Linked DNA regions of Macaca mulatta. The main gene of each other region encodes a partner of the protein of the gene in region 2 in a complex. Links are inferred from orthologs where the notes say so. Each region holds a gene or a part of one and is shown on either strand. Other genes may lie near its edges.

Region 1 (11,394 bases), on a different chromosome or scaffold from region 2:
TAAACAAGCTTCCCTGGACCCCACATCGCCCCTCAGCTTGGGTCCCTTTCTCTGTTCCCTGGGTGTTGCCCACACCCGCCATCTCCCCTGTACTTCAGCTCACTCCTGTCAGGCTCCCACCCCTCTGCTCCACGGAAACCCTCCTGCTCAGGCGGCCGAGGCCTGGGGGCCTGCAAGTTCCCAAACCCTGGGGCCACCAGACAAACCCAAAGTGAGTGAGATTCTACAGAATAACTGGCCTGAGCTCTTCAGACGTGACGAGGAAACACGGAGGACCGTCACAGACTGGAGGGGAGTAAGGAGACAGGAGGATGAGGTCACTCTAGTGCCATCTTGGATTGGCTCCTGCTCCAGGACAAGGACTTTAGGACAACTGACAGAACTCCAATAAGCTCTGCAGATTAATTAGCAGTGTTTATGTCAATATTCATTTCCTGTGTTTGATCCTTCTGTGGTTAAAATGTTAACCACAGGGAAGCTGGGGGACCTGTAAATGGGAGTTCTTTGTACTATTTTTTGCAAGCCTGGAATTTCAAAATGAAAAGAAAAAAACAAAAAAGCCAACTAAAACCTAGTGTTGGGAAGTAACCTCCACTTCACAATACCCCACGGCTGAACCTGTGCCTCCCCCCAGCTTCCTTATCTCAGGAAATGGCAGTTTGGCCAAAAAGCTAAGGGTCATTTTGGATTTTCCTATTTCTCACCCCTCACATTCAAGCCTTCAGCAAATTCTGTCCATCCTAGTTCCAAAATGTGCCTTGAATCCATGCACCCCCGACCCCCTCTCCCTAGCATCCCACTGTACTGGGAGCCACCGGGCTTTCTTGCCCAGAGCCTGCCCCCACTTCATGCCAGCTCCTGGGACCCTCTCTCCCACCCCTTTTGTCCTCTGCAGCCCTCACCCCTCACATTGACTGGGTCCTCATGGGGCCTGGCACTGCCCACGTCTCCCAAGACTGCTGGGGCTTGGTTTCCAGCCCAACACTGCCTTTCTGCTCCTGAGACCTTCCCAGTCTTTCTCCATGGCCTCCCATGGCTGGTTCCCTGTGGTTCCCCCAGATCTCACGCACAGGCAGCTCCTCCAGGGAGCTTTCCCAGACCACTCTAACTCATGGGCCCACCACGCCTCCAGTCTCCACTCCAGCCCGTGCTGGTTTTCCCACTGTACTCATCTCCTTAAAATTCCACCAGATTTGGCTGGGCACGGTGGCTCACACCTGTAATCCCAGCACTTCAGGAGGCCAAGATGGGTGAATCAGTTGAGCTCAGGAGTTCAAGACTAGCCTGGGAAACATGGTGAAACCTCGTCTCTACTAAAAATACAAAAATTAGCCGGGTGTGGTGGCGGGCGCCTGTAATCCCAGCTACTCAGGTGGCTGAGGCACAAGAATCGCTTGAGTCTGGGAGGCAGGGGTTACAGTGAGCCAAGATTGCGCCACTGCACTCCAGTCTGGTGACAGAGCAAGACTCTGTCTCAAAAAAGAAACAAAAATCCACCAGATTAGGGACCGGGCCTCACTGTGACATGCCCCAGCATCCAGCCCGTGCTGGGCACATGGGAGGTATGTGATGAACCACTGAGTGGTACACTGGCTGGTGGTGCTGCCCAATGTGGCCCTTCCTTTTCTCCTTGGATGTCACCCTTCCTGGGTCACTCTGGGTGTCTGTAGAGGTCCCCAATTCTCCAGCTCACAAGGGCAGGCCTAAAGGGACTCCCCTCCACTCCCCTCAGGTCTCTCCAGGGACCAGAAAGTTCTCGCTAGCTCTGGCCTCCACCAGAGGCATCTTTAGAATTCCAAGACCATCTCTGGAATGCTGGGCCTGTCTGGGGAATGCCAAGGCTGGGGCACAGGTGCAGAGAGTGGAGTGGCTGGGCGGGGCAAGGACAGCTGATGGCATTCTGGCTAGAGTCTGGGTGCTGCTGGCAGCTGTCCCTCCTGCGAACACCACTGCTGACACCTCCACTTCCTTGCAGCCCCCAATGCCCATGCCCCCAAGACAGCATCACTGTCTGGCAGCAGCTCTGGACTGGGCGCTCCCACTAAGCTGAGAGCTGCCAGGCCTTGGGCCTCTGTCCCTGTCAGGGAAAGAGACTGGGCCACAGGAGACGAGCCTCTGAGGTTCACAGGAACTGGAAGTCACGCCCATTTGGATGTGGCCCATCCGACAGGGCCCTTGGCTGGAAGCCAGCTGGCTCTGCTCTCCCCCACACTCACTGGATGACCTTAACAGGTCCCTGTACCTCTCTGGGCCAAACAGGTGAGGGGAGGTAGAGCCAACTCCATGCGCCTCTGGCCCTGGGAGTCAATGTTGCTGGCAGGAAATACAAGTGAGTGGGCGGGTGAACTAGCACTGTGGGCCTGCAGGGACCCCACAGGCTCAGCTCCATTCCAGCCACGGCTGAGAGGTAACGGGGGTTGCTCTGCCAGGCAGCATTCAGGGCCTAGCTGTGTACCGCAGTGAACCACTCTCTCCAAGGAGAGAACCCCTAGGCTGCCACAGTGGTTGACCAAAGTGATGGCCCCCAGGAACTTGTAGGGGTTCTAGGCCCCCACAGACTCCAGATGCTGAATCCCTGGAGATGGTGCCTGGGCATGAGGAGTGATAGAGGGCAGCCAGCAGGGCAGGCCACACAGCAGTCTCCGATCTCATCTCACTCCCCGCAGAAGGCAGTGTGGAGTGGCGGTCAGGCACCAGGCACTGCAGCCAGCCTGCCTACGACAGGGAAGGAAGCAGTCATCGGGTAAGAGTGAGTCCTGAGGAAGAGTCCCCGGCCCAGGGACACCAGAGGCAGACAGCAGACCTCCGGGGAGCACGCTTTATTTGCATCTCCCAGGACAGAGTTGGGGAGGGAGTCAGGGGATTTGGGGTTGAGGATATGGCCAGGCTCAGGTCCTGGGACCCCAACCCCCTCCCCAACCCCAGGACTCAGCTGGAGTTGGAGGCTGGGCATGGGAAGCTCTGGGTGAAGGTCAGCATCTACTCCACACCCTTCATGAACTCCAGGAACTCTGTGGAAAGAGGGGCAGGTGTGGGTCGGGGGTGGGGGCTGGGCAGGGCATGGAGGCAGGGGACCAGCCCACCTACCCACTTACCATCATAGTCGATGCGGCCATCGTTGTTCTTGTCTCCGTCCTTCATGAGCTCCTCGATGTCGTCCTCCGTGATGGTCTCGCCTGTAGCCTGCAGCATCATCTTCAGCTCATCCAGGTCGATGTAGCCATCAGCGTTTCTGTGGGGAGGGGGCTCAGGGTAGGACTGTGGGGAGGGCATAAGGCAGCCCCACCCATGCCCCAGGAGGCAGAGCAGGGACACTGGGAGATGGGGCATCCCTCTCCCCAATCAGGCAGAGGCCGCAGGGTCCCTAGGCCTGGAATCTGAGACCGCCCTCCTCTACAGTTTGGCTTGAGTGTGGGTCAGGGTCAGAGGTCAAGGGTCACATGCTCACTTGTCAAACATGCGGAAGAGGTCAGACAGCTCCTCCTCAGATTTCCCTTTGCTGTCGTCCTTCATGCACCGAACCATCATGACCAGGAACTCATCAAAGTCCACCGTGCCGCTGCCTGGGGGTGGGCGGCATGGCCGTTACAGAGGCCGGGGTAGGTACTGCAGGCAGCACCTTCGACATGAACCCCCATGTTCTCACCGCACCCTCACACCAAATGCCAGGCTTCTGTGGCCATTATGCCCATTTTATAGATGAGGCAACTGAGGCTCAGATAGGCAAAACCGCTCCCAGCTAAACAGAGCCAGCATTCCAGCCCCCAGCCAGCTGGGGTTCTTCTGGAGCCTGGGGAGGAGGGGGCTCACCGTCCTCGTCCACCTCGTCAATCATCTCCTGCAGCTCCTCAGGGGTGGGGTTCTGGCCCAGCATCCTCATCACCTTGCCCAGCTCCTTGGTGCTGATGCAGCCATCCTCAGCACCCAGCACGAAGATATCAAAGGCTGCCTTGAACTCTGTGTTCAGGGGTTGGGGGGCATAGTAGTCGGGGCTCAGCAGCCAGGACCTCAGAAGGCCAGAACCCTGGGGCCATCTGCCAACCTGCCCACCTCCCTCAGAGACCTCTCTGAGGTCAGAGCAAGAGGGACCAAGCCTCTGCTCTCTGGTCTGAGGTCCTCTTCTGGTAAGGGGTCCCCATGCCAGCCTGGCCCCGCTGGTCTCCCACATGTGTGATAGGGGTTCTCACCATTTTTCTGCTCTTCTGTCAGCTGCTCTACCTAGAAAGGAAAGGGATTCTCAGGGCTCAGACTCAGGTATAGCTGCTGCTGAGGAAACCAATCCATTCCACAGGTGAGAAGGCTGGAGCCGGAGGAGGCAGGCTATTTCCAGGCCACAGGGCGGAGGTCTCAGTCCTCCCTCCCTGCCCCCAAAGCCCTGATGTGACCCAGCTGGCCTCACTGAGACTGGGCTGAGGGCCAGGGTGACAGGTGGGCACCCCCTTCAGGGCCAAGGTGACCCTCAGTAACAATAGTCAGTGACCACTCAATGCCCTTTCAGCCCCTGATGAAACTCAAGCCGGGTGGCCCGAGGGACAGCTGTCCCTCAAGTTGGGACAATAAAACCAGTGTGGGGGCAGGCGAGCCACCCACTGTAACCTGACCAGGGTGGCCACTGGGCTATTTTTAATGAGGAACAAAGTTAAACCTGGTGATTGTTCTGGGGACTTTGGCATGCAGGGGGTGGGGCAGCGTTATCTGGCCCCCTGGCCTGCTAGTGCCGCCTCAGGAGCCAAAATTAGTCCCCAGCTCCGCCAGGCCTTGTATGGGCACTGGGTGGAGGGCTGCCCCCACTCCAGCTCCATGGATTCCCACAGGATAAGCAGGCGTGCCCCCAGAGCTGGCTGTAGCACTTCCCTGCCCAGGAGTAAGGGAGGCTGAGGGAGGGGTTCCCCTGGGGACAGCTGTTCATTCCAGGATGTCCTTGCTCTGGGGTTGGGGGAGGTCACCACCACCCCTGGATAGAATAGCATCTGAAGACCCCCAGTGACCCAGGAGGCTGCAGGGGCTTGGGGTGACCACTCTCCAGCCCTTGTTCCCTCGCTCTCACCCCTATCTAAGCCACTGAGCGCTGAGCCTGCCAGGCATGATGGGAGCTGGGGCCCCAGTTCTCTGTTCCTTCTTCCTTGGTTTTCCCTCATGTCCAGAACTTCCCTGCCTCAAACTTCAAAGCCCCATCTCCAGCCCAGGACTCAAGCTCTGCAGCCCACTCCTCTCACACCCTCCACCTCCCAAAGCATCTTCGGCCAGTCAAGGGGCTGGAGTGGGGTAGCAGATTTTGAGCATGTGAGAAGCATAATGTGAGGGGCAGAAATGGGGGTTGGGGACAGGGAGACAGTAATGGGGACTCAGACAGCTCAGGAGGAAGAGATGAAAAGAGAAAGGCAAAAATGTCCAGAGACAAATGCAGAGACATGTGGCTGAGCGACAGTGCCTCAGACTACAGACACTTGGAAACAGAGAGTGAGACATGATGCTGAAAGCTGCGACATCCTCCACCACCCTTCAGAACCTGAACTCCCATCCCTTCTGCATCCCCAAACACCAGAACCACTGTCCCTGTGACAGCCTGGATTGAAGGCACGTAGGCTTTCTCCTGGGTCCCCACCACTTCCCTGGGGCTACTGGCCTCCCATTCTGAGCTGAGTGAGCCCCCAGTGGGCCTGCCCACCCCAGCCCTACCCAGCCCTGTCCCTCACCGCAGCCTTGTAGATGTCATCCATGCTGGCGGCTCACAGGACAGCCTGCTGGGGTTGCCAGCCGGCCCTTGACTTAAATAGCCCTGCCCCACCGCATTCCTGGCCCAGCCCAACCCAGCCCAGCCCATCCCTGCATGTAGTATCCTCCAGTCCCTCCTCTGGTCCCAGTGATCTCAGGCTGGCCTGAGTCCCCGTGTCCTCTGCCCAGGGCAGGAAGCAGATGAAGGGCTACAAGGACCAGGTTTCTTTCCCTCCTGTCCCCCACACTCCCCAAGGGACTCTCTGAAAAGGTTTCTGGAATGAATGAAAACATGAGTCCAGTGCAGGACAGGAGTTACGAAGTCGTGGGCCCTAGGCAAGGCCCGGGCAACACAGCAGCTCAGGCTCCCATCCAACCAGGGAGGCGGGTGCCATGACCACCACTTTCCAGATAAGGAAATTGAGGCTCTGGAGGAGTGGTGACTTGCCCAAGATCTGACTGACTTGGCAACCCCTGCCTTTAACTCAACCTCTCTGGAATGGGGGTGCAACGTGCAAGGAGAGGCTGGGAGTGCAGGGCCCTGCCAAGAGAAGCCTTGAATATCAAGCTCATAGTACGATGCTGTGGAACTGGTGAAGGAGGAAGTGACTGATCCACCTTAGGACAGGGTGGCCAGGAGCCTTCTGCCAGAGGAGCCTGCCCCAGACCTCCCATCCGCCCAGGGAGAAGTACTCACTTCGGGCTTAAGTCAGCTGCTGTCAGTTATTCAACAGCACCCCTACAGATGCCCCATCTGTGGCAGGCTCCTTTCCTCCTCACCCTCTAGTTAGGTTACCACCTCCCTCTTCTAGGTCTCATTTTTCCTTGGTTTAGGACTCAGTTCCCCATTCTAGCACTGTAGTTCCTGGGTCCAGGTCAATCTGTCTCCCTCGTTTTAAACTCTGGCAGGCCACCCCGTGGGGTTCTTGTGCTCAGTGGCGGCACACACCCCTCCATCCACCTACACCCTCCTTCGTACAGAGTTCGTATCAAGTTTATCCCTCTTGATAAACACGCTCCCTGCCTCGAGCACTACTGCGTGCCGGGCCGCGCATGAACCGACCCACTCAGTTGTCCAGGAGCCCCACTGACAAGAGATCTCCGAGTCTCGGAGAGGTTCAGAACTGGCCCAGAATCGTTCTCGCCCTGCTCCGGCGGTAAGCACAGGTCCTGTTTTCCCCTCCAACCCGCCTTGCCCTAAAGAGAAAGAGCTCAACAGCCAGGTGAGGCACTATTATGGCCTCCTTTATCCGGAGGAGTAAACTGAGGCCAGGAAGAGCAGTGACTTGCTTCGTGTAGCCCGGAAGGCTCGAGACCTTCTGTCCCCTCTTCCCGAGGACGGAGGGGCGATGCCCAGAGCTGTAACCACCAGGGGTCTCAGTTTCTAGCAGGTTGCGCAGTGTACCTCCCGCCGCGCCAAGCAGGTAGAGATTACGCAAGCGAGCACCGCGCACGCGCGCGCTGTGGGTGGTGCCTGTCAATCACGCACGAGGGGCGGGGCGAGGGCGCAGGAAGAAGGCGGGGCCAAGATGGCGGCGCAGCGCGCGGCGGGGGCGTGGGGCGGCGGGGGCTGGGGGGCGGTGGGACGTTGACCCCGCCCCCTACTGCTGCCAGTCTGCGCCGGGCGGCGGCGGCGGCGGAGACCCGAACATGGCGACGCTGCGCACCTTCGGGCCCGAGCGGGAAGCCGAGCCGGCCAAGGAAGCTCGCGTCGTGGGCTCGGAGCTCGTGGACACTTATACGGTTTGTTGGGGGCGCGGGCACCTGAAGCGGGGGTGGTGGCTGGGACCGGGAGTCCGACTTGGGGGCTTGGGGAGGGGTTCGGGATCTGCAACCCTGAGGAGCGGGTAGAAGGGTCTGCGATTGCGAGGGGGCTGGGACGGGGGATCTAAGGAAAGGGATCTGGGCCTCGCAGGTTCGGGTGAAGGGTTGCTCGGGGCCTGGGGAGGCGGTTTGGAAAAGGGTACGCGATCAGAAAGGGAGGCTCGGGTTGGGGGCGGCATCTGGGGATAAAGGGGGCCTGGGGAGGGGGGTGTCTAGATGAGGCGAAACGCCTCTAGATCCTCTAGGACTGGAGGGGCCCCGGCCTGAGAGACCGTTACTGGGGTTCAGGAGAAAGGCGATGGGGAGAGGGTCTCTGATGGATGGAATCAGGGAAAAGGGTCAGGCTCCGCAGGCCTTGAAGAAAGAGAAGGCGCCAGCACCCTGATCTGGGAAGCCTGCGGTGGTGGTTGAGATTTTCTCTGAGAAGTGAAGGATAGACCTGGGGGGCAGACGCCTTGGGGGTCGGGCGGAGACAAGAACGGAGGACGGGTGGAGCCCAGCTGTGGAGAAATAGGGGTGGTCTCAGTGCTGAAGCGCAGGCCCTATAAACCTTAGGAATCTTCGTGACTTTGGGCTGTGGGAGCGAGATGGGGCAACAAGCTGCGCACACACACTTCTAAGCTATGGGGGAGACAGAGGACAAATGGGGGGTAGTTTCCGACTCTGATGGGGTTGGATGCCAGGCCTGTGAGCCTGGTGGGCTGCCTGGCAAAAACTAGGCATTGAGCACCTCCCTGCTTCATCCCCTTTGTTCCCGCAGGGTAGGGAGTGGGTGGGGGCCTTGGCCCTGCCTGCACCCCCCTCCCTGGCCCTCATCCTAACCTCCCCCTCTGAGGGCCATTCATCAGGCTCTTTTCTCCTTTCCTGAGGGCAAAGGGAAGGAATCAGGCAGGATGGGAAGAGGAGAGGGGTGGATCCTGGAGCAACAGGCCAGCCTGGAGAAATGGCTGCTCCTCAGGGCTGGAGAAGGCTTCAGCTCCATGCTGCAGAGAGGAGAGGGAAACTAGGTGCAGGAGGCGGGTGAGGTCCCTGAGCTGATGGCTGGCACCTTCAGCAAGAGGGCCATCTTCAAAAAGCTCTCCCTATTCTGGACTGCACCCCTCCTCTGCATGTGTGTCGGGGGAGGTGGTGATCTAGATTGGACCCTACCATCCTCTGTCTCCGGGTGTGCCGGGTTGGATATTATGAACACACCTACCCTTTGAACACTTGCCATGGGTCAGGCCCATGGACAAAGCATTTTACATGCATTGCCTTACTTGGTCCTTGATTCTAAGATGGAGGAACTGAGGCTCAGAGAAAACTTAGGCTCCAAGTTAATTATATAAGTGACACATAAGCTGCAGCCAGGAAATGACAGAACCAGGTTTTTAACCCAGGCCTTCCTTAACCTCTAGGCCATATTGCCTCCTGATAGAGCTTAGTTGCTACCACTCCCTCCCCACATCAGCTGCTTGTGCCTTGATTCCTGGCTCAGTAGCAGAAATCACAGCCATGAACCAGTTGAAAGGGTTGGAAAAGGACTTGCTTCCAGGAGGGTAGGGCACCTGGAAAGAAGTACAACAGAGAAGATGCTCAGGCTACAACTGGCCCTCCTCTGCCTCCCTTGGAAGAAATGGCCTTGCCTGCAGCTCGGGTTGGGTTTTGAGTTACCTAGAGGCAGGTGGTAAAAAACTAAAGAGGTGACTTGTTGTGGTAATCACTTTTTTCATTCCTTACTGATGGATGGAGCCACAGGCTTGTCCCATGTGCCTCCCAGCCCTACTGCTTGGGCCATGGAGGAGGCTGAGAGGGGCCCTGCTGGTCAGCAAGGGTCAGGTGCAGAGGCTAGTGGGCAGGGGCAGCCTGACTTTGGCCTTGGGGTGGGTCTGAGTTGCAGAGAGAAAGACTGATAAAAGATAATTGGGAAAGGTAATTGCAGCTTTTGCTATAGGGGGAGGAGACTCCTTGTTGGGGCTCCCTTGCTACAAGGGCTTTTGGTTTCCCATTTTAGGTTTACATCATACAGGTCACTGATGGCAGCCATGAGTGGACGGTAAAGCACCGCTACAGCGACTTCCATGACCTGCATGAAAAGGTAACTGTTAAGAGCTGGGAGCACATATTTCAGGGCTGGAGGGTCCTGTAGGCCAAGTTTCCATTGTGCCACACGTTAGTTTTAGGGCAAAAGAGGCTCCATGTCCATAGTTCTTAATAAATCACTTTGTTAATATAACTGCGTTCATTAATATAGCATGTAAATGCTAGCCTTCAGCTCTAGCATGAGCCAGTCTGCAAGGAGCATATTTGAATTTCAGTTTTAATATTTCCAGTCCTAGCTTGGATACGAGATGCTGAGACAGTTTCCTGGGAAGGGGACAGGTTTGAACTTGTTCGACCTAGCTATGGCTATTCCAAAGCCTGTGCTGTAATATCTGGCTGTGATTCCATCTTTGCTTTTGGAGATGCTGTCTTTCTCTGGGTCATTTACAGCGTGTTTTAAAGACACACCACTGCCCTAATTGGTTTGTACTCTGGCTTGGAAAAGATGGCAATTTTAGGGGCAAAAGGTGTTACTTTTCTGAATGTCTCCAACGTCTCCAGATGGAATTCCTTGTCTGGAATTGTATTGGTATTTCTAATGCTAATTTGGATTGAAAGAGGCGAATCCCAGGTGCCCTCGTTTGGTCACTGATCTTGGTACTGCAGGGAGGGGCTGTGCAAGTGCTGACAAGCGCCTGTCCTCAGGCTTCTTGCCTTGGCCTTACATAGGCACAGAGCCTCTTAGTCTGTGGTTGATGTGCTTATGTTTTTTTACAGCTCGTTGCAGAGAGAAAGATTGATAAAAATCTGCTTCCGCCCAAAAAGATAATTGGGAAAAACTCAAGAAGCTTGGTGGAGAAGAGGGAGAAGGATCTGGAGGTCTACCTCCAGAAACTCCTGGCTGCCTTCCCTGGCGTGACCCCCAGAGTGCTGGCCCACTTCTTGCATTTTCACTTCTATGTAAGTTCCTCATCGGGTTTTCACCTGTGCCTGCAAACCCACAACTGCCAAGCTTGAGGCAGCAAACCAGGGGGGACCTCAGCTTTGAGGTGGGCCGGGGTTTGACCCTAGGTTAGAAGATGGAGGAACGTCACCCTGGTTAGGGATGTGTTGTGGGCAGAAGCACGTTAGTTGACAGATTTGCCTTAAATTAGACTGAGTGTGGCCACAGAGATGCTTTCCTCTACCACAAGGCATTTTGTTTAGCAAAAATGGCCTGTGGGTGTTTAAGCTAGGTTTCCATCCAGATGGATGAGGCTGGATTAGAAACAGCTGACACCTGGGATAGACTATTGTTGAGTTGTTGTTTTACAGCTCAAAACTAATTAAGGGATTAGTCTGTGATGGTGGAATATCACCATCTTGGGACATGTAATCGGGGTCCACGCTGCCAGGGTGCTAAGGTTGAGGGTAGATAATTTCTTCTGATGGGAGAGTGTGTCGTAGAACAGCTCTGTACTCCGTCCTGGACAGAAGAACAACTTTCGTAAGTTGCTGGGGACAGAATGCGTTGTCATACTTTAAGAACAGCACTTAGGCAGTGTGAAACCACAATATTTGGGGGTTTTTTTCGTTTGTTTTTGTTGTTGTTGTTTTTTTGAGACGGAGTCTCGCTCTGTCGCCCAGGCTGGAGTGCAGTGGCCAGATCTCGGCTCACTGCAAGCTCCACCTCCCGGGTTTACACCATTCTCCTGCCTCAGCCTCCCGATTAGCTGGGACTACAGGCGCCTGCCACCTCGCCCGGCTAGTTTTTTTTTAATTTTTTTATTTTTTTAGTAGAGACGGGGTTTCACCGTGTTAGCCAGGATGGTCTCGATCTCCTGACCTCGTGAT
Region 2 (11,451 bases):
AAAAAAAAAAAAAAAAAAAATGCATGTTTGCTTGTCACACATGTGTGTGTCCACCTGTCCATGAATATTCATAGCTCCTTCTATAACCAGTTGAATACGTGCACGTAGCCAACCCACTCAGCGTAAATTCCTGCCTTGCCCTTCCCTCCCTTAAAGTGCCTGCTTCTGTTTTTTGGCAAGAAGCCACGCTTCCAGTTTGCAGGTTGTGATCTGCTTCTTAAGAAACAAAGCTCCCCTCTCCAAATTCATGAACCCTGGAATTCTTTTTGATAACAGAGCCAAGAGTGCTCCACATGGGAGATCCATCTGGTCCCCGACCTGCTGTGTGACTTTGGGGGAGCCCTGCCCTCAGTTTTCCCATCTCTCTCCTGCCTAAGCCCTGGGTAATAGACATGGAGTCACTTTCAGCTCAGAGAGAAGCTTTATTCCTCAGGGCCCTCCTCAGGGCGGGGGCAGTAGGTAGGAAGACTCAGCCCTCAAACTTTTTCTTGCGGCCCTCCATTCCACTCAGTGCATCGATGTTCTTGCGCCAGTCTCCCACCTCCCGGTTTTCCTGGAGGATGGCGATAGAGTCAGAGATTAGGGTCTCTTCCTGGTCTCCAGTCTCTCAAGAATCCCTGTCTTCCCTCCAGCCTGTGGGGCCACTCTACCCTGGATGCCTGTCTAAGTGTCTAGTTCTGGAGCACTTCCCATCTTTTCAAGATAATCCCCGCCAATTTTCCCCATAACTTCCTGTCTCCCTCATGCACTTCCTGTCCCCCTCATGCACTTCCTGTCTTTCCCCAGCACTTCCTGTCTTTTCTCATGCATTTCCTGTCTTTCCCCATGCACTTCCTGTCTCCCTCATGTACTTTCTGTCTTTCCTTATCCACTTCCTGTCTCCTTCCTGCACTTCCTATCTTTCCCCTACACTTTCTGTCTGCCTTATGCACTTCCTGTCTCCTTCCTTCTTATTGTAGTAGTTCATCCTTATCTGCAATTTTACTTTATGTGGTTTCAGTAAACCATGGCCCAAAAATATTAAATGGAAAATTCCAGAAATAATTCATAAGTTTGATGGATTCTCATAGGACATAGCCTAATGCTAGGTCACAATGCCTATGTCATCCACCTCACTTCATCTCAGCACATAGGCACTGTCATTTCACATCACAAGGAAAAGAAGGGTGACTACAGGGCCATAGGATATTTTGAGAAAGAGACCAATTCATATGAGTTTTATTACAATATGTTATAATTGTTCTATTTTACTATTATTATTATTATTTGAGACAGGGTCTGGTTCCCTCACCCAAGTTGGAGTGCAATCTCGACTCACTGCAGCCTCAACTTCCTGCGCTCAAGCTATCCTCTCACCTCAGACTCCTGAGTAGCTGGGACTACAGGTGTGTGCCATCATGCCCAGCTAACTTTTTTTTTTTTTTTTTTTTTTTGAGATGGAGTCTCCCACGGTTGCCAGGGCTGGAGTGCAGTGGTGAGATCTCAGCTCACTGCAACCTCTGCCTCCCAGGTTCAAGCAATTCTCCTGCCTCAGCCTCCCAAGTAGCTGGGATTACAGGCATCCACCACCACACCCAGCGAATCTTTGTATTTTTACTAGAGATGGGGTTTGACTGTGTTGGCCAGGCTGGTCTCAAACTCCTGACCTTATGATCCACCTGCCTTGGCCTCCCAAAGCGCTGAGATTACAGGTGTGAGTCACCACACCTGGCAACTTTTGTATTTTTTGTAGAGACGGGGTCTCGCCATGTTTCCCAGGCTGGTCTCGAACTCCAGAGCTCAAGCAATCTGCCCGCCTTAGCATCCCAAAGTGTTGAGATTACAGGCATGAGCCACCATGCCCAGCCTTCTTTTATTATTATTTATTGTTAATCTCTTACTGTGTCTAATTTAGAAATGAAACTTTATCATAGGTACGTAGGTTTGTATAGGAAAAAAATTATATATAGGGTTCAGTACAATCCATGGTTTCAGGCATCCACTCCTGTCTTTCCTGTCTTCTTCTTTAAGATAGGGTCTTACTGTGTTGCCCAGGCTGGAGTGCAGTGGTACAGTCATAGCTCACTGCACCCTCGATCTCATGGGCTCAAGCGATCTTCCTGCCTCAGCCTCCTGAGAAGCTGCATGCCACCACCATGACTAATCAATTTTAAAAAGAAATTTGTAGAAATTAAAACAATATCGTGGTGGTGTGCACCTGTAGTCCCAGCTACTTGGGAGGCTGAGGTATGAGAATCACTTGATCCTGGGAGGCGGAGGTTGCGGTGAGCCGAGATGGCGTCACTGCACTCCAGCAGCCGAGATGGTGTCATTGCACTCCAGCCCGGGCAGCAGAGACTCCATCTCAAAAAAAAAAAGGAAATTAAAAAAAAAATTTTTAAATCTCAAAGATTACAGGCATGAGCCCCTGCACCCAGCCCTTCATGCACCTCTTTGCTCTTACATGGACTTCCTGTAGCCCTAATGCACTTCCTGTCTTCCTCTTGCATTTTGGAGGACCCCATACTAGCTAGCTGCTTCTACCCCCAACTTCAAGCACCGTCTGCCCTCCAGCTAGGCCCCAGGGTTGTTGGTACCCACAGCCCTTCCCCTCAGCATTCTCTTTCCTGGCCTTAGCCCACACTCACCTTCTCGGTGTCCTCCTTCTTCACCTGCTTGAGGTGGGCCCGCAGGTCCAGGGACTCCTTAGCCCGGGCCCCCAGCAGTGCCTGCATCATGGCATCTGCAGAGATCCTCACTCTCCGCAGGGTGGGCCGCTTAAACTTGCCCCGAAGGTCAAAGATCTTCTGGGTCAGATCTGCGATCTGGGGGGAGGCAGTATACAGGGGTGTGGATACTCCTGCCTCCATTTCCCCCTCACCCAACTCTTCCACCCTACACTCCTTTTTTATTCTCCTTATCTCATCTTCCAGTACCAAGGCCTCATCCAGTCTCTTCCCAGCTTAGGCTCCCAGTCTAAGCTTCTAATCCTGGAACTGAATCCCCCTCTTCATACGCTCCAGCCTCACCTCACAAAACCACTGGCATAACCTGGTCCAGCTACATGCAAATCACAATTCCCTGGCCAATGCCTGAGCTAATTTACCAACATGTGATGCCCTGAAAATGTTCACTAAGATATTTTCTGTTTCCCAACCCATGGCCTTCCATGTGCTGTTCCCTCTGCCTACAACAGCTTTCCTTGACTATATTGTACTCATCCTTCTGCCCCAGCCCTGCCAGGCTCACAGTTGTCCTGGGTCTCCTGGGATGTGCAGCCAAAAGCAGCTGCAAGGGGTCAGGCAGAGACCAAATACCAGGTATCTCACTACCCCGAAGGTACCCGAGCTGCCCATGCGTCCCACCTCTGTGATGTTCTTGGTGACTTTTGCCTGTATGTCATATCTCTCTTCATCCACCTTGTCCACACGGGCATGGAGCTGTCGGCACAAGTCCTGGAGGAGGAACGTGGTGTGTGTTTTTGGGGGAAGCCTGGAGGCCTGGAGACCTGAACCCCTGGGTCTGAGGGAGGAGGGGCTGGGGGCCTGGACTCCTGGGTCTGAGAGAGGAGGAGTTGGGGGCCTGGACTCCTGGGTCTGAGGGAGGAGGGGCTGGGGCCTGGACTCCTGGGTCTGAGGGAGGAGGGGCTGGGGCCTGGACTCCTGGGTCTGAGGGAGGAGGGGCTGAGGCCCTGGACTCCTGGGTCTGAGGGAGGAGGGGCTGAGGCCCTGGACTCCTGGGTCTGAGGGAGGAGGGGCTGGGGCCTGGACTCCTGGGTCTGAGGGAGGAGGGGCTGGGCCCTGGACTCCTGGGTCTGAGGGAGGAGGGGCTGGGCCCTGGACTCCTGGGTCTGAGGGAGGAGGGGCTGGGGCCTGGACTCCTGGGTCTGAGGGAGGAGGGGCTGGGGCCTGGACTCCTGGGTCTGAGGGAGGAGGGGCTGGGGCCTGGACTCCTGGGTCTGAGGGAGGAGGGGCTGGGGCCTGGACCCTGTCTGGGGTAGGAGGGCCACATGATCCTGAAGGAGTAGGTTGGAGCCAAGACTCCAGAGACCTGCACACAAAGGGTGTTAGGGGCCGGGAGTCCCACGAACCATATAGAATTGGGTAAGGACAGACATATTGGACGCCTGGGTCCCGAGCAGAAGAGGGGACAGAGGCTGTTCTGCTGAATTCCGGGGACTAGAAACCTCGGATCCCAGGCTGGGCAGGAGTACCTGCCTTGGGAGCCGGTACCTGCAGCTCCGCGAAGCCCAGCCCAGCCAACTCCAGCGGCTGGCAGCGCGTGCTCAGAGCGCGCCCCTTCTCTCCGCGCCGCTCCTCCGCCTCTCGCTCCAGCTCCTGCTTTGCAATCTGCAGCAGCAGGGTCTGCGGAGGGGTGGGAGGGAAGCGTAGCCCACCCGGGGCATCAGGAAAAAGACCAGGCGTAGGGAACCCCGTCTGCCCTTCTAAACCCTCGAGTTTCGTCTCCACCTTTCCAAGGCCCCGCCCCACCCGGAGCAGGACTCCCCGATAAAGCCACGCCCCGAGCGGCCAAACCCCCGCCCACTCCCGCCCACCTACCCCGAAAGCCCCACCCACTCTCAAGCTCCGCCCCCTGAGCACGTGCCTGCTCCTTCCCTGGACCTCCCGTGCTCACCTTCAGCTGCAATTTTCTCGAGGCGGAGATCTTAGATTTTTTCTGCCAGGGTGAGATGGAGCAAGGAAGCATCATGGAGGGGGATCCGGAGACGACGGTGGAGGGGACCTCAAGGCACCCCCAGCAACCCCAGCCGGTCCAGATTTGGGCCCACTTCCAACTTGCGCCCTGAGTCTATGACAGGCCACGCCCCTCATTCCCATCCACCAATCCGGGTCTCTGGCTTTGGATAGGCACTTCCCATCTATCCCTAAGGAAATCCAAGGGCAACGGAACTACGCCCACAGGCGGCTGTCACCAATCCGAGTGTGACCCTTTGCAAAACTCCGCCCCTGAAGCCTCTCCGCGTAGTCCCCGCCCCCTTCGTAGCCTTGGCTCCTCCCCCCACTCCTAAGGTCTCGGGTCCTTCCAGCGCCTGTACTCGGCCCCCAGGAAGCCCCTTCCCACCTTGGCGTGTGGCTCCGTGGCGTAAGCGCGGTAGTTGGAGGAGCGGCGTCTGATTGGGGCTGGTGCAGGGCGAGGTTCCCCAGCCTGGGTTTGGAGGAGTGGGGACCCCATCACCACCAAGACCCCACCCAGCCCTTACCGTACCGCACCCTCTGCTAGGGCTGCAGCCTCCCGCCCCAGACCCCTCACTGCAGCGCCCACCCTGGCCCTGGGGGTCCCAGCCACGCCTTAGCCTGCTGCTCTCACCGCATCGCTGCTCCTGGAAGGAGAGAAACCGGGGATGGGGGTTAGTGGTGGGCTGTGTCCTGTCTGTCTCCTAAGGGACCCCCGGAAGCCCCTCTGACCAAGAGGTCGGGGGACACCGCTTCCCCTTCCTCTGGTTCCAGGAGTCTGACTCGCAAACCCGCTTCCTTTCTTCAACCAAGAGCCCCTACCCCTACCTCACAGGCCAGGGGTCCAGCCTCTCAGCTCTGACCCCTCTTGGGAACCTGAGAGGTCGCCCCCAACTCCCACTGCCTTGGGGCATCACTCACTTATCTGCCATGCTGAGACTCAGGCCGGGAATGGCAGGAGGTGAGGACAGGGGCGTTTGGAGGGTCGGTGAGGGGACCGCCTGGGTGACCTTCAGGGTCCCAGGGACCGTCAGTCTCCTCCCGGCTGCTTGAGACTCCCCGAGGACACTGAGATAAAGGGCGAGGACAGAGACTAAATATACTGTCACCTCCTCCTCCCCTGCCCACCATGCGAGATAACGGGGCACGTGAGGGGTGGGGTGGGCCCTGCTCCAGCTGGATCACCAGCCACCTCGGGGCACAGGACTCCGGACCCTCCTCCCTCTGATCCTGGAGTCCTAGACCCCTCCTCCCTCAGACCCACAGAATGCCCAACCTCCCAGCCCCCTCCTTCCTCAGTCCTAGGACCCTGGGAGACCCCAGCCACTCCCTCAGACAAGGAGTCCAGGCCCCCAGCCCCCTCTTCCCTCAGACCCAGGAGTCCAGATCCCCAGCCCCTCCTCCCTCAGACCCAGGAGTCCAGGTCCCCAGCCCCTCCTCCCTCAGACCCAGGAGTCCAGACCCCCAGCCCCTCCTCCCTCAGACCCAGGAGTCCAGGCCCCCAGCCCCTCCTCCCTCAGACCCAGGAGTCCAGACCCCCAGCCCCTCCTCCCTCAGACCCAGCAGTCCAGACCCCAGTCCTGTCCTCCCTAGACCCACTGGTCAAGTCCCGGAAACCCAGGAATCTGGTTTCTGGCTTCCTCTGTCCACCACTCCTGGGTCTTTCTCTCCCAGCCCTGGAGACGGACATAGGACAGGAAAGACACTTGGACACACAGAGAGGTGGACATAACTTGCTTTACTTGAACCATCTGGGTGCTGACCAGGCCCTGGTGAGGAGACACCCCAGCCCCCAGCCAGCCACAGGGTGCCTGGGAACAAGGGGGCCAAAGTCAAGGGCTTGAGACTCAGGGTCCGATCCTAGACTGGGTTCAGGGCCTCAGAAGTGGAATTTGGAATTCTGAGAGAACAATCTAGAATTCTAGAAATAGAATCTCAAAAATAGAATTTGAAATTCTATCAACACTCCCAGGGTGGGGGTGGCGGGTACTGAGTGGGAATGATTAGAATAAAATTGGGGACTCTAGCAGCCAGCTTAGGATGGTATCAGCGGGTTCTCATCCTACAACCTGACTTTGGAAGTTGGAGATAAGGGGTATCTAGGGGTTGGGTCAGACTCCAGTGTTGGAGTGTGACTCACAGTTGGACAGAGCCAAAGCCCCTTGGGGCTGAGCCAGAACCTCTGAGAGTGAACCTGGAGACTCAGAGGGCAGCTGGCAGGGCTCCCAGTGTGGGGTCCCGCCCTCCAGAGGCTGGGTCAGGCCCTCAGGGGCTGGGCTGCTGGCTTCAAGAGGCTGGGCCAGGACGTCAAGGGACGGAGTTCTGGGTTCCACAGCTGGGTCAGTGCTGCCCAGAGCCGAGTCCTGGGACTTGCAGAAACGTGCGAAGGTCTCTGAGGGCCTGGCCCCGGTCTGTGGAGCAAATCCCGCTGCCTGAGCTCGCTCCCCGACCTGGGTGTTGAATCCCTGCAGCTGCTCCTGCCGCACGTCCACCAGGTATCTGCAGATGGGAAGCGCCATGTCAGGGACCCAGATTTTGATCCCCAGCCGGGATGTTCCCCGCCCTCCACCCCACTGGCTCACCGGGCTAATTCCACAATCAGGTTCCCTCCAGGTGCCACACAGGCCCCAAGCTCGGGGCTGAGAAGATGGACCACCCTGCAGTGAGGACCGAGGACAAGCCGAGACTCAGCTGAGGGAGGAGGGGGCTCTGGGAACCCAGACACTGAGGGAGGAGGGGCTGCAACACTGGAGTCTGGGTCCTGGGAAAGAAGGGAGCAGGAGGTCTGGACTCAGGGACCAGGGAGGAGGGGCTGGGTCTGGACTCAGGGACCAGGGAGGAGGGGCTGGGTCTGGACTCCTGGGTCTGAGGGAGGAGGGGCTGGGTCTGGACTCCTGGGTCTGAGGGAGGAGGGGCTGGGGGCCTGGACTCCTGGGTCTGAGGGAGGAGGGGCTGGGGCCTGGACTCCCGGGTCTGAGGGAGGAGGGACTGGGGGCCTGGACTCCTGGGTCTGAGGGAGGAGGGGCTGGGGCTGGACTCCTGGGTCTGAGGAAGGAGGGGCTGGACTCCTGGGTCTGAAGGAGGAGGGGTTGGGGCACCCGGACGCCTGGGTCTGAGGGAGGAGGGGCTTGGGTTCCAGAGTCTGAGGGAGGAGGGGCTAGGGGCCTGGACTCCTGGGTCTGAGGGAGGAGGGGCTTGGGTTCCAGAGTCTGAGGGAGGAGGGGCTAGGGGCCTGGACTCCTGGGTCTGAGAGAGGAGGGGCTGGGGCTTGGGTTCCTGGGTCTGAGGGAGGAGGGGCTGGGGGCCTGGACTCCTGGGTCTGAGGAAGGAGGGGTTGGGTGCCTGGACTCCTGGATCTGAGGGAGGAGGGCCTGGGGCTTGGGTTCCAGGGTCTGAGGGAGGAGGGGCTGGGGGCCTGATCCTGGGTCTTTGTGAGCACAGACGCCTCCTGCTTACCCACAGGCCACATAGAGGAGCTGGAACCGGCCATTGTAGCAGCTCTTGTGGTGGAGAGTCTCAGCAGAATTGAGCGGCAGGAAGTGGACAGTGAATGATTCCGGAGTGGGGGCTGCCGGAGGAAGGGGATAGAGGGGTCACCTCTGACGGGCAGAGCCATGAGGGCAGAAAGCCAGAGAGATATATAGAGCTGGGCAGAGCTGGGCAGGCACACAGGACTTGGAGATAACACTTTTTGTCCTCTTGAAGCTTTTAAAAAAATCTTTCCTCTGAGGTGGATTCCTGGAAAATTCTGGGAAGATCAGCCCAGCAGGCAGAGGCTCACTGTACAGATCAGGCAACTGAGACTAGAGAGGGAAAGAGGGTGGGTGGCCAGGGCCACATGTGACATGCCCTGTCGGACAGACACTCAGGGAGGGCCAGGTTGGAGGATGGCTGGAAGGAGGCCCAGCGCGGATCCGGGGTGCAGGATGGTGTTCAAGGGAGGGCTGGGACCCAGCACCCTGTGAGAATATTCTTGGATAGCTTAGCCCTTTGCAGATAAGATTGAATTCTACTAGTGGAATTCAGAATCCTAAGCATGCTCTCAGAATTTAGGAAAGGGAGAGAAAGAGAAGAGAGGAAAAGACAGAATATCAAGAAGCCGTCACTTGCCCAGGCATTCCAAATCATGTCAGTCCACACTCCAGTGTGAAACACTTGGAGGCTGGAGTCCCTGGCTTACCTGTTGTCCCTGGCCTACCCGGGACTTACCTGGAGTCCTGGCTTACCTGTTGTTATCCCTGGCTTACCTGTTATCCCTGGCTTACCTGTTGTCCCTGGCCTACCTGGGACTTACCTGGAGTCCTGGCTTACCTGTTGTTATCCGTGGCTTACCTGGAGTCCCTGGCTTACCTGGAGTCCTGGCCTACCTGGGACTTACCTGGAGTCCCTGGCTCCGGGCTTGCCTCCGAGCGCTGCTGCTCCTCCGGGTCCCCCCGGCTGGCTCTCGCGCGCCCCCAGGCGGCCACCTCGCGGAGCAGCTCTGTCACGTTGTGTTGCGTGATCTCCCCGGCAGTCTAGGGGTAGAAGGGGCGTGGCCAGACGTCGGGGCCGGGATGGCGGGGCGGGGCTTAGAACGCGGGGAGTCCTCGGTCCAGGACTAGAACTCCCGCAGCTGCTTGGAGGATGTGAAGTGGGGCGAGACCTATCCCGCGGGGATGGGGCCTGTTCCCTGAATGGAGTCGTCCCCGCCCAGCGACGGGTTGGGTCTGGAGCTGGGGCGGGGCCTGCGGTGGAGGCGGGGTCTTGCGCACCCACCCACCCCCAGCTCCACCCCACCCCCAGCCCCACCCCCACCCCCAGCCCCACCCCCAGCCCCACTCCCACCCCCAGCCCCACTCCCACCCCCAGCCCCACCCCCACCCCCAGCCCCACCCCCAGCCCCACTCCCACCCCCAGCCCCACTCCCACCCCCAGCCCCACCCCCAGCCCCACCCCCACCCCCAGCCCCACCCCCACCCCCAGCCCCACCCCCAGCCCCACTCCCACCCCCAGCCCCACCCCACCCCCAGCCCCACTCCCACCCCCACCCCCACCCCCAGCCCCACCCCCAGCCCCACTCCCACCCCCAGTCCCAGCCTCGCCGCGCACCTTGACCGGCTGTCCGTTGCTGGTCCGCAGAAGGCTCTCGTCGTCGGCTTCGATGCCGAAGGCCACGAAGGGCCCTGTGGCGATGTCCCCCCAGTACCCGCGCGCTGCCACGCGCTCCCCGCGCTGGAAAAGGAGGGAGAGAGGAGGCGGGTGAGGTCGAGGCTGGGGACCCTGACTCCTGGGTCTCCGAGAAGCAGCAGTGGGCCAGGACAGGCAGTGGACACGCACGTAGCTCAGGAGGCGACCCGACGCCAGGGTCCGGTTGGGCACGTGATAGGCGCTGGAGTCCCTGAGTTCAAAGGCGACGCCTGTGTCCCGCCAGCGTCGGAACTCCTGGGTGTGAATGACTTGGGCCTGGGGTGGGGGGCAGGAAGAAGGGACCCCTCAATGAACCCACCATGGAGGGACCCCTACACCATCCTCCCTCAGACCCGGGAGTCCAGGCCCCCAGCCCCTCCTCCCTCAGACCCAGGAGTCCAGACCCCCAGCCCCTCCTCCCTCAGACCCGGGAGTTCAGGCCCCCAGTGTCTCCTCCCTCAGACCCAGGAGCGCAGGCCCCCGGTCCCTCCTCCCTCAGACCCAGGTGTCCAGACCCCCAGTGTCTCCTCCCTCAGACCCAGGAGTCCAGGCCCCCAGCCCCTCCTCCCTCAGACCCAGGTGTCCAGACCCCCAGTGTCTCCTCCCTCAGACCCAGGAGCCCAGGCCCCCGGTCCCTCCTCCCTCAGACCCAGGTGTCCAGACCCCCAGTGTCTCCTCCCTCAGACCCAGGAGTCCAGACCCCCAGCCCCTCCTCCCTCAGACCCAGGAGCGCAGGCCCCCAGCCCCTCCTCCCTCAGACCCGGGAGTCCAGGCCCCCAGCCCCTCCTCCCTCAGACCCGGGAGTCCAGGCCCCCAGCCCCTCCTCCCTCAGACCCGGGAGTCCAGACCCCCAGCCCCTCCTCCCTCAGACCCGGGAGTCCAGACCCCCAGCCCCTCCTCCCTCAGACCCGGGAGTCCAGGCCCCCAGCCCCTCCTCCCTCAGACCCGGGAGCCCAGGCCCCCAGCCCCTCCTCCCTCATCCCAGGAGTCCAGGCCCAGCCCCTCCTCCCTCAGACCCGGGAGCCCAGACCCCCAGCCCCTCCTCCCTCAGACCCGGGAGCCCAGGCCCCCAGCCCCTCCTCCCTCATCCCAGGAGTCCAGGCCCAGCCCCTCCTCCCTCATCCCAGGAGTCCAGACCCCCAGCCCCTCCTCCCTCAGACCCGGGAGCCCAGACCCCCAGCCCCTCCTCCCTCAGACCCAGGAGTCCAGACCCCCAGCCCCTCCTCCCTCAGACCCGGGAGTTCAGGCCCCCAGTGTCTCCTCCCTCAGACCCAGGAGCGCAGGCCCCCAGCCCCTCCTCCCTCAGACCCAGGTGTCCAGACCCCCAGTGTCTCCTCCCTCAGACCCAGGAGCCCAGGCCCCCGGTCCCTCCTCCCTCAGACCCAGGTGTCCAGACCCCCAGTGTCTCCTCCCTCAGACCCAGGAGTCCAGACCCCCAGCCCCTCCTCCCTCAGACCCAGGAGCGCAGGCCCCCAGCCCCTCCTCCCTCAGACCCGGGAGTCCAGGCCCCCAGCCCCTCCTCCCTCAGACCCGGGAGTCCAGGCCCCCAGCCCCTCCTCCCTCAGACCCGGGAGTCCAGGCCCCCAGCCCCTCCTCCCTCAGACCCGGGAGC

What was found.
Region 1: the proteins of TNNI3 (region 2) and TNNC1 are in contact, whole or in part, in a crystal structure (PDB 4Y99), measured with the Homo sapiens proteins. The link is inferred for Macaca mulatta from reciprocal best matches to the Homo sapiens genes TNNI3 and TNNC1. Residues at the interface, in NP_000354.4 of Homo sapiens: Glu32, Pro33, His34, Ala35, Lys36, Lys37, Lys38, Ser39, Lys40, Ile41, Ser42, Ala43, Ser44, Arg45, Lys46, Leu47, Gln48, Leu49, Lys50, Thr51, Leu52, Leu53, Leu54, Ile56, Ala57, Lys58, Glu60, Leu61, Glu64, Arg136; in NP_003271.1 of Homo sapiens: Asp3, Ile4, Lys6, Ala7, Glu10, Gln11, Thr13, Glu15, Gln16, Glu19, Phe20, Ala22, Ala23, Ile26, Phe27, Val44, Met45, Leu48, Gln50, Glu59, Met60, Glu63, Glu66, Asp67, Gly68, Asp73, Asp75, Glu76, Phe77, Met81.

What each region holds. Positions count from the first base shown.
Region 1 is NC_133407.1:115,995,166-116,006,559, forward strand, and holds TNNC1 (troponin C, slow skeletal and cardiac muscles), read right to left. Parts: upstream 5,819-11,394; 5' UTR 5,721-5,818; coding exon 5,697-5,720; intron 4,219-5,696; coding exon 4,188-4,218; intron 3,958-4,187; coding exon 3,811-3,957; intron 3,564-3,810; coding exon 3,449-3,563; intron 3,233-3,448; coding exon 3,096-3,232; intron 3,012-3,095; coding exon 2,980-3,011; 3' UTR 2,805-2,979; downstream 1-2,804. Other genes in the region: NISCH (nischarin), read left to right, coding at 7,366-7,458, 9,533-9,616, 10,339-10,521. UniProt on the Homo sapiens protein: Troponin is the central regulatory protein of striated muscle contraction. Tn consists of three components: Tn-I which is the inhibitor of actomyosin ATPase, Tn-T which contains the binding site for tropomyosin and Tn-C.
Region 2 is NC_133424.1:67,467,128-67,478,578, forward strand, and holds TNNI3 (troponin I, cardiac muscle), read right to left. Parts: upstream 5,757-11,451; 5' UTR 5,606-5,756; coding exon 5,595-5,605; exon of another isoform or gene 5,575-5,594; intron 5,321-5,574; coding exon 5,308-5,320; intron 5,146-5,307; coding exon 5,062-5,145; intron 4,657-5,061; coding exon 4,615-4,656; intron 4,344-4,614; coding exon 4,212-4,343; intron 3,435-4,211; coding exon 3,345-3,434; intron 2,805-3,344; coding exon 2,628-2,804; intron 554-2,627; coding exon 470-553; 3' UTR 403-469; downstream 1-402. Other genes in the region: DNAAF3 (dynein axonemal assembly factor 3), read right to left, coding at 6,785-7,172, 7,256-7,330, 8,130-8,241, 9,052-9,187, 9,762-9,884, 9,990-10,115. UniProt on the Homo sapiens protein: Troponin I is the inhibitory subunit of troponin, the thin filament regulatory complex which confers calcium-sensitivity to striated muscle actomyosin ATPase activity.